2 linked regions of the Caenorhabditis elegans genome follow. The protein of the gene in region 2 interacts with the protein of the main gene of each other region in a pairwise test. Each region holds a gene or a part of one and is shown on either strand. Other genes may lie near its edges. The genes, in order: F13H10.1 and ccpp-6.

Region 1 (3,109 bases), on a different chromosome or scaffold from region 2:
ATCGATACTGGGTATATATTATAAGACGAATAATAGTTCAACATTGCTGAATAGCACATTTGAAAATCAATCATAATTATAAATTTCTGAATGAAAGCTTTGGCAAAATTCCAATTTTTAAAAATGTGTGTTTCTTTAGAATTACAGTCTTTTGTCGCATTATCGATCATCTCCCCGGGCATTTAAAAACATAATCAACATATATTATTAATATTATTTTTAGTGGAACAATTTTTTGACCGATTTCCAAAGTAATGAGTTGCAAATACCCGCGTAAAAACTGTACAAAAATAATCATAAGGAATTTTGGTGAATTTAGCGCTGTTTGGATGGCTTACATTAGCAGGCCGATATAAATTGAGAAAACATTTTTCCAGAAAATCTACTTTCAGAACTTATTAGTTTATTATTTTCTTTCCCCAAAATTAAAAAAAACCTTTTTCCTGGCAATGATTGGATTTGAAAACTCACTTTATCACTACATTTGTAAGTTTCAAAATATCGTTTAGCAATATTAAATATTTAAAAAAAACAAAAAATATTTATTGCAGTTTCAGACGGAAGTTTCTGATGGTTTCGATATCAATAAAAGTTCATCTAATGTTGGTTTCAAGAAAATAGCAAGTGATTCAGCAACAAGAGTATCTGCCGGTGTAAAATCATCTTCTAGGGAAGGAACTTCAATTCGAAATTGCTGAAAATAAACATTTCGTTTGAAATTTATTTCTTGAAATTTAAATTGTTCTGCTCACCTCTAAACTTGCATTTCTATTCATAAATCGATGAAGCCGAATGAGATATTCCCATTGCATTTCAGCTTCCTTTGCTAAAAATCTGTTGGATATTATTTTCATATATGTGCAAAACTCACGAGAAATATCAAAAGTGTGCCCGAAATGAGCCCAAATTTCATTCATATGCTCACGAGATATATCAAATTCTCGATTTTTCCATATTGCTGGAGTAAGACGAATTTGTTCGATAAATTCTTCCAGTCTATTGTGATCCAACATTGCAACTATGAACTATTATTTTTAAAGTATAATTAAATCTTTAAAATGAAGATTTAAGTAAAGAAAAAAGACATGAAAACAAATTAAAAATGTGTGAAAGTGTCTGGAAAGTGGTGGACGCTCAAAGTGAATTCCTCAAGAGTTTTGTCATTCATTTTGGATGAAGAAGGAGTGGAAAAAAGGAGTGTCCTAACACTTCTCAACGACCATGCTTGCGCAAAAAAGTAAAAAAAGTTTTGAAGGCCCAAAAAGCAAACAGACTGGGAAAAGCTTGAACTTCTTGGAGACTCACCGATATGTATTTGTTTGTATTATGTTTGTTCTCACATGATATCGCATTTCGTTTTGCGCTGGGTTTCTACTAAATTGTACGTAAGATGCAAAAGTGTAATTGGAATTACTGTAAGATGAGATGGAAAAATGTCTGGTTTCCAATGACGAGATACTTATATCTTTTCTAATAGTCATGAACATAATTTTTGGGATTTGCCAGATAATTATTGAATGCAATGTGATATTTGAAAATTTCAAAATAATCGTTTGGATATGAAAACTTACAACAACTGACAATTGCCAAAAATTTTCAATCGCCGCCCACACCTGGTTTCACATATTTTATTAAATCAGAGTCTGCCTTTGTGACAATTACTATATATATTTTGAAGCTAAAAATATATTAGGAAATAACTTTATTTTTCAAGAAACAAGAGATCTTCCGTTTTTCCATCATGATATCGATTTCAAAAATGATATAGTTTTAGACATGGTGATAGCTAGTGATAATCATATTTTTTCCAAATTGATCGAACTGCTCAAACCCGGATTCAGATCAACTTCCATCGGGGATATTGTTTTTCGTGAACCATCAATGTTATTGAATACGTTTGTCTGAAAACAATTATTATTTTGCGAAATGTGGTGTTGAAATAATTCCATTATTTGATTTCATAGATTACATTGATTTCAAACTCTACTAAATTTATGTAAGCGCAATACTAACGGAGACTACAAGTTTTTATTATTATTTAGAAATAGTGATTTTCAACTTTCACGAAAAGTGGTTTCTTAAAATTTTTAATTGTTGAATTTGAAATCCAAAAAAAAGCGCAAGACTAAAAGAGACTGAAATACTAATTTTCAAAGCGTGTTAGAGTTCAATATTAATAGATTATGTACCTTTGAGTCATTCCTTTGCAATGAATCATTTGACATTGCTATCTCGGATATGGTGTCCAGCCGTTTCTAAAAATAAAAATCAACAAAACCGTTTAATTTTCAAAAAAGTTTCTTACATTTTTCGCAGCTTCTTCATCTCTAAATCTCTGTGCAATTCCAGTAGCTGCACCGGATCTTGAATTATTATTGGAAGCATTTGACACACCGGTTATTCGTTCTTCATACTGAAATCCATATTTATAATTTTTGTTCTTAATTAATAACTAACCTGTCCAATTGTTTCATGGCTTCTAGATGATTCTTCTCGATGAGATCTCACAGTATCCGTGGATTTTGAAATGTCTTTGATATTTAATCGATTCCCTGGTTTAATGCTTGCTTGAACCACGCCGTTCTTAGCTTGCCTGAAACATGAAAAAAATTGTATCAGTTTTTGAAATGAATATTTGCTTTGTTATAATTTTAGAAAACTAGATCACAATTTCAGTAGCACTCAGACAAACGCTTAGTAGTCTAATTAGATTTCAACCATATTTGTTTAGAAAATCCATATTGCATTATATTTGCTCCATATTAGATTAGAAATCCATGTTAGATTAGATTCCCTCCATATTTCATTAGAAAACAAATCTAATCCAATATGGTCGAAATCTAATCCAATATGGCACGATCTCAGCCATATTTGATTAGATTTCAACCATATTTGATTAGAAAATCCATATTGGATTAGAATAGGAAGCCTATTAATTATGTCCCCATTATATTTGCTCAGTTTCTAATCAAATATGGTTGAAATCTAATTAGACTACTAAGCGTTTGTCTGAGAATCAAAACCCTTACCCCTCCTCAAAATTCTGCAATTGGGTCGCTCGATCGTTCTTCTCCTCATTGGCTCGAACTTGATCTTGACGACATCTGCA
Region 2 (5,653 bases):
TTCATTTACAGAGGTTACGTTGATGACCCACGTAACACTGATAACGCATGGATGGAGACTGTTGTTTTCAATTTTCATGATTCAAAAGGCCTTCTGAAAAATGTGGCTCTTCAAGCAGGAGATGATGCTAAAGCTTTACGCTGGATTGCAGTTAATTCAAATGAGCCACTTTACGCTTCTCATTCTCATTTTATTGATCTTCTAAAAGAATCTCATTCTCATTAACTACCACATGTCTCTCTTTTCTCATGTTCTCCTCTTATTTTCGCGTTTCTGTTAGCTATATTCAATTCATAAATGATTTTCATTTCAGAAATGAGCCGTGGAGGAGGTGGTGATCGTCGTGCCGCACCGGATATCAATGGTCTAACTTCGCTGAAAATCGACAACTTGTCGTACCAAACAACGCCCAACGATTTGCGTCGAACTTTTGAGCGATACGGAGACATTGGAGATGTTCACATTCCAAGGGACAAGTACTCTCGCCAATCGAAAGGATTCGGATTCGTTAGATTTTATGAGTAAGTTAAATTGGAACTATTGGAGAGAAAACATCAGAAAATCAATATTATTTTAGACGTCGTGATGCTGAGCACGCATTGGACCGCACAGACGGAAAGTTGGTTGATGGACGCGAGTTACGTGTGACTCTTGCAAAGTATGATCGACCATCGGATGAGAGAGGAGGCCGTGGAGGTGGTGGTGGACGTAGAAGGTTAGTATACTCAGTTGATTCCCCTTGTAGTTGTGCTCAAAAATTAGGCGCGAGACTTAATGGAACCCTTGTCTTCCTGACTTATTTATAGAACAGCAGCAGAGCCAGATGTTGCTGAGCTGAGCTGAATTTTTGCTGCTGTTGAAGCTGTAAATGCTTGCTGAGTGACACTTGAGTAGCAGAATTGCTGAAAATGCAGAGAAAAGCAGTTTTGATGTTGCTGTGTCTGCTGAATGAAACCAGCGGCGACAGTGTGGAAAAGGCAGAAAACAATTTTGTAAGTGCCCGAATATTTTCAATCGGCATATTCTACAGTTTGTTGCTGAAATTCAACTTTCGGTGGCAAACTGTATTGATAGACGTTGTTCTTTGTCTTTGAGTTGTCACTTCTTTCTATCGAATAGAACATTCACAGCGAGTAATGTATTTTGTACTCTATCAAAAACTTGATTCTTTTAAAAACTTAATAAATTTCAGATCCCGCTCACCGAGAAGACGCTCCAGATCTCCAAGATATTCTCGCTCAAGATCTGTAAGTTACTTTTAATGTCACCAATGTATTTAAATAATTTCAGCCGCGACGTTCTCGTAGTCGTACTCGTTCACCACCATCTCGTGATCGCAGAGATTCACCGGATCGTCGTGACAACTCTCGTTCCCGATCTCGTTCACCGCCACCACGTGAGGATGGATCTCCAAAGGAACGCCGTTCCAGAAGCCGCTCGGCATCTCGTTCGCCAAGTCGTAGCCGTTCCAACTCCCGCTAAATTCCGAAAAAATTTCCTCTTCGATTTCTGATTATTTTTCGTTTTCGTTTTCGTTTTTACTATGATTTACTCACTGATCCTGAAATTTCAAACGTCTTTTTTTTCCAGTTGCCTCCAACAAGACAAGTAATATATATGATTTCCAATTTTCCATCTAATTTCTCCAAGAGAACTGTTAAAATAAATCGAAATTCTGTCCGTCAATATTGTTCCAAACTTTTTTCTCTTGAATAAATTGGCTCAAGTGTCAAAGCAGTTAGAAATGTTCACCCAACCACACTTCCGGCTTCCGGTGTCGGAGCTCAGGTCTGGTTTTCAAAAAAACAAAATTTCATTTTCAATATGGGCTATGTTGGAAATGTCAGCTATCCTGATACAATTCCTGGTCAGGGAAATTTGGTTTTTGAAGCAAGTTTTGAATCTGGTTAGTTTTAAATTCAATTATAGACAAACAAGGAAGTAATTATATTATTATTTTTTGAATATTTAAAAAGTTTAAATTTTAAGGAAATTTGGGACGAGTCGACAAAGTTTCCTGTTCAGAATATGATTTATTCATTCGACCTGACACTTTGAATAATAAATATAGAGTTTGGTTCTATTTTGAATGCAAAAATGCATCTGAAAATCAGGTAAATGTTTGAAGAATTTGTATTTATTATTGATATTCGAAAACTGGATCTGAGGCGGAAACGTCGGGTCTCGCAGCGATTTTTAAAAAAATTCAATACCCTACGGGTTACTGTAGGTTTTCAGTTTTTTTCTGCAATGGCCATGGTTCTGAAATATTTACGAATTTTCCAGTATACCTAAATATGTTCTTTATTTTCGGGGAGAACATTTTGAGACAACTTTTTTCCTAGCTACAGTACTCTATTTTCCGCGCTAAAAGGTGTGTGCCTTTAAGAATACAGTAACCCATTCCTCGTTTTGAAAGTTACCGGCGGTTACTGTATTGATTGAAGGCGCACACCTTTTTGACTGGGTACTATTTGAAAATTAGTGTAATTATGCAGTTTAAACTTTAAAATTTTATTATCAAATTTGCAAATTCTTCAGCGGGCGATCTTCAATATTGTGAACTTTTCAAAACAAAGAACACTATTCGAAATGGGAATTGCAGCACCTGTAGTCAAATCAAATGCTCAAAATAGTTGGTATGATGAAAACCCCTCGATTTTCTATTTTAAAGAGCCATTTCAACATTTTAGGGCTCGAATCCCATCTCGCCATATCTACTACTACCGTAGTTCCCAACACAATGATCGTTGGATTCTTTCATTTGCTTTCATATTTGAATCACCAGATCCTGTTCAATTTGCATACTGTATACCGTATACTTATGGACAAATGCAGATATGGTTGAATGAGTTGGAATCCAGAAAATACCCATTTTTTCATAGAGATCTTTTGGTTCAAACTGTGGTAAATTGGAAATATTCATGGAATAGTCTGAAACTTTTTGGAAAATAATTCAGCAAAAACGTCGTGTCGACTTGATAACAATTGATGCAACACCTGACACATTCCAAGGATCCAAGAAAATGATTTTTCTAACTGCGCGAGTTCATCCTGGAGAGTCACCGAGTAGTCATGTTATGCATGGAATTATTGAATTTCTTGTTTCCAAAGATGATCGAGCACAGAAGTTGAGAAAAGTTTATTGTTTCAAAATTATTCCAATGCTTAATCCAGATGGCGTTTTTCTCGGAAATTATAGGTAACTTTTTGCAAACAGCCTAGGTAGGCATTCCTCGTCACCAACAACCTCTCGGCCCAGGCATAAAGGCGTACCTACCTACAGTGCCTACCTTATCAGAAGGTCATTTCAGATGTTCTCTAATGGGTCATGACTTGAATAGAATGTGGAGAACCCCTTCAGATTGGGCTCATCCTTCAATTTATGCTGTGAAGAATTTACTGACGCAATATGATAATAATCCGGTGAGAGCTGTTAAATTTATCGATATTGGGAATTTATCGATATACATATTCAGTGTTTTGTAGGACTTTTGAGCATTTTCATCAATTTTTTTTTGCAATTCCCATGATACATTCAAGTTGACTGTATCTCGAAGCGATCAAAATCCTAGATTACTGTAGACTATGGTTAAATTGAAACATTGTGGGAAAGTTGCCATGCTCACTGTTATGTGTCAATTTTAGGAATAAATGAATCAATAATTTGTAGAAGTTTTAGGATCTGTTCTTGAATATTTCAGCAAGCCCAAACTGTAATCTACGTTGATCTACATGCCCATTCTCAGAAGCCAAATTGTTTTTTGTATGGAAATGTGAATATGTCAGCTGTAAGTTGTGAATTTTTTTGTGAATTGGTTCGGGCAACTTCAAGAATCAGTTATGAGTTACTGTATTTCTTGAAGGGGTACAGCAACTATTGAAAATATTTTGTCCGTGGCGAGACCCGATATTAGCCGATTGAAGAACTTAGCGATTTTAAACAAAGTACCCGGTCTTGATACTACCGAAACTTAGCAGTTATCTACAGCATTTCACAATTTTAAACCCTAATCTTTTCATAGTTTCGCTCAACTTTGCAATGACCACAAAATTTAAATTTTCTGAAACATTTTTTTCTAATTTTCGGTCGAAGAAAAATCGACTTTCCGGCAGTTATGGCTTCCGCATTTGCTGGCAGATCTTTCCGAAGATTATTCGCTCGAGTTCACTCAATTCAACACGGATGTGGAGAAGGCTGGTACTGGCAGAAGGTGAGATTTTTTATATGGAAGGGAACGAATAATTTATTATGGATTTCGAATAGTCGTGATTTTAATTTGATGGGTCTTGCCACGATATGAATTTTGCAATAGCTAGTAATTTCTCACATGGTCATCCGTAGTATCTGCGTGCAAAAACACGACTGTGGGTCCTGGCGTGAGTGAACATTTCCAGCAACAGTACCTTTTACTTTCAATCTCTATTTTGCAACATTTTCTCAATATTTTGTGTGGTTTTATAATGATGTTTCTAGAAAATATATGCATATTTTCAAAATGAATACATTGGGAAACACGGAGTTGAGAAAAACACGCTGGGTTACTGTAGCAGAAAAATGCCAGTCGTGTCAGGACCCTTCATAACTTTTCAGAACGATGGGAGATCTACTTTCCTGCCTTTGCTATACACTTGAAGTATCATTCTTCTCTTATCGCCATACAGACTCTTCTGGAAATGGAATACAACATTGTACGCCATATCTTCAATATAAATGTAGGTTTTTTTTCAGTGATTTCCTACTGTAACTTGGTTCAATTTTCAGATGAAGCTCTCGGCGAGGCATTTTGCAGAGCACTTCTCAACTTCTATGAAGCCGACTGTGGACTACGAGAGATTGTGCTCGAACGTCCCTTTAAGACTTTTCTACCCGCCCGCGCCCAGAAAACTTTGAAAAAGCAAGCGAGGAAGGTGATTCAGACTGTGATGATGAAATGAATTGGCGCCCACATTAGAACTGATAAAGACCATTGAAATGCAATTTTTTTTTGTTTGTCAATAAATAAGTAAGGGAAGTGGTCAAATGGAAGAACATGTAAATTGAATTGAAGTTAAATCGAGTTCCACACGTGGCACAAAAGAAGTGTCAGATGGCGAAGAGACTACATTGATCGTAGTCTTCGCCGCAATTTTACATATATTTCAGGGAAATGAATGAGCTGACAAGAAAAGTAACAAGAAGGTGTATTTAGAAGGGGAGGTCATCAAGCATTAGGTATTCCTAGCAAGTATGAATAGTCTAGATTTTAACAGAAACCAAAAAAAATCACAACCTTTTCGGGATTGTAAGATACCACAAGACGAGTAGAAGTGATTGTTGCGAGAAAATGTATAACAGATGTTGAGAAAAAGAAAATAAGTTAGGATACTGATTATGCCACGAGTTAGTGTGTCATAGTATCGTATAAGACAGTGGGCGAAGGAGATGGGATTCGAGAATAATAATAAAAATCACAAAAAAGTATACCGAAGAAAATAAATATTTGGGACTCGGGGGATGGTGGGGGAATCAGACTGAATCTTCCCGACTCATTTGTAGAGGATTCACGTATTCAAATCCATCAAATTCTGATTGATCAATTCGTGCAATAACATCTGGATTGTCAGGTGATAATTGTGGAAGTTCGTCGGTGAACTGAAAAAAAAAACAAGC

Evidence for each region.
Region 1: the proteins of ccpp-6 (region 2) and F13H10.1 interact in a two-hybrid assay, tested with the Caenorhabditis elegans proteins (one large-scale study listed by BioGRID).

The regions. Positions count from the first base shown.
Region 1 is NC_003282.8:11,002,489-11,005,597, reverse strand, and holds F13H10.1 (MADF domain-containing protein), read right to left. Parts: upstream 1,026-3,109; 5' UTR 1,014-1,025; coding exon 872-1,013; intron 827-871; coding exon 753-826; intron 695-752; coding exon 554-694; 3' UTR 529-553; downstream 1-528. Other genes in the region: F13H10.9 (uncharacterized protein), read right to left, coding at 1,797-1,901, 2,190-2,255, 2,306-2,413, 2,458-2,593, 3,030-3,109.
Region 2 is NC_003280.10:5,383,489-5,389,141, reverse strand, and holds ccpp-6 (Cytosolic carboxypeptidase 6), read left to right. Parts: upstream 1-1,824; coding exon 1,825-1,906; intron 1,907-1,989; coding exon 1,990-2,114; intron 2,115-2,541; coding exon 2,542-2,639; intron 2,640-2,693; coding exon 2,694-2,907; intron 2,908-2,960; coding exon 2,961-3,202; intron 3,203-3,314; coding exon 3,315-3,426; intron 3,427-3,704; coding exon 3,705-3,791; intron 3,792-4,089; coding exon 4,090-4,214; intron 4,215-4,594; coding exon 4,595-4,716; intron 4,717-4,765; coding exon 4,766-4,938; 3' UTR 4,939-5,005; downstream 5,006-5,653. Other genes in the region: ndx-6 (Putative nudix hydrolase 6), read left to right, coding at 12-225; rsp-4 (putative splicing factor, arginine/serine-rich 4), read left to right, coding at 316-521, 578-715, 1,193-1,247, 1,291-1,482; pkc-3 (Protein kinase C-like 3), read right to left, coding at 5,510-5,635. UniProt on the Caenorhabditis elegans protein: Metallocarboxypeptidase that catalyzes the removing of polyglutamate side chains that are present on the gamma-carboxyl group of glutamate residues of tubulin in sensory cilia.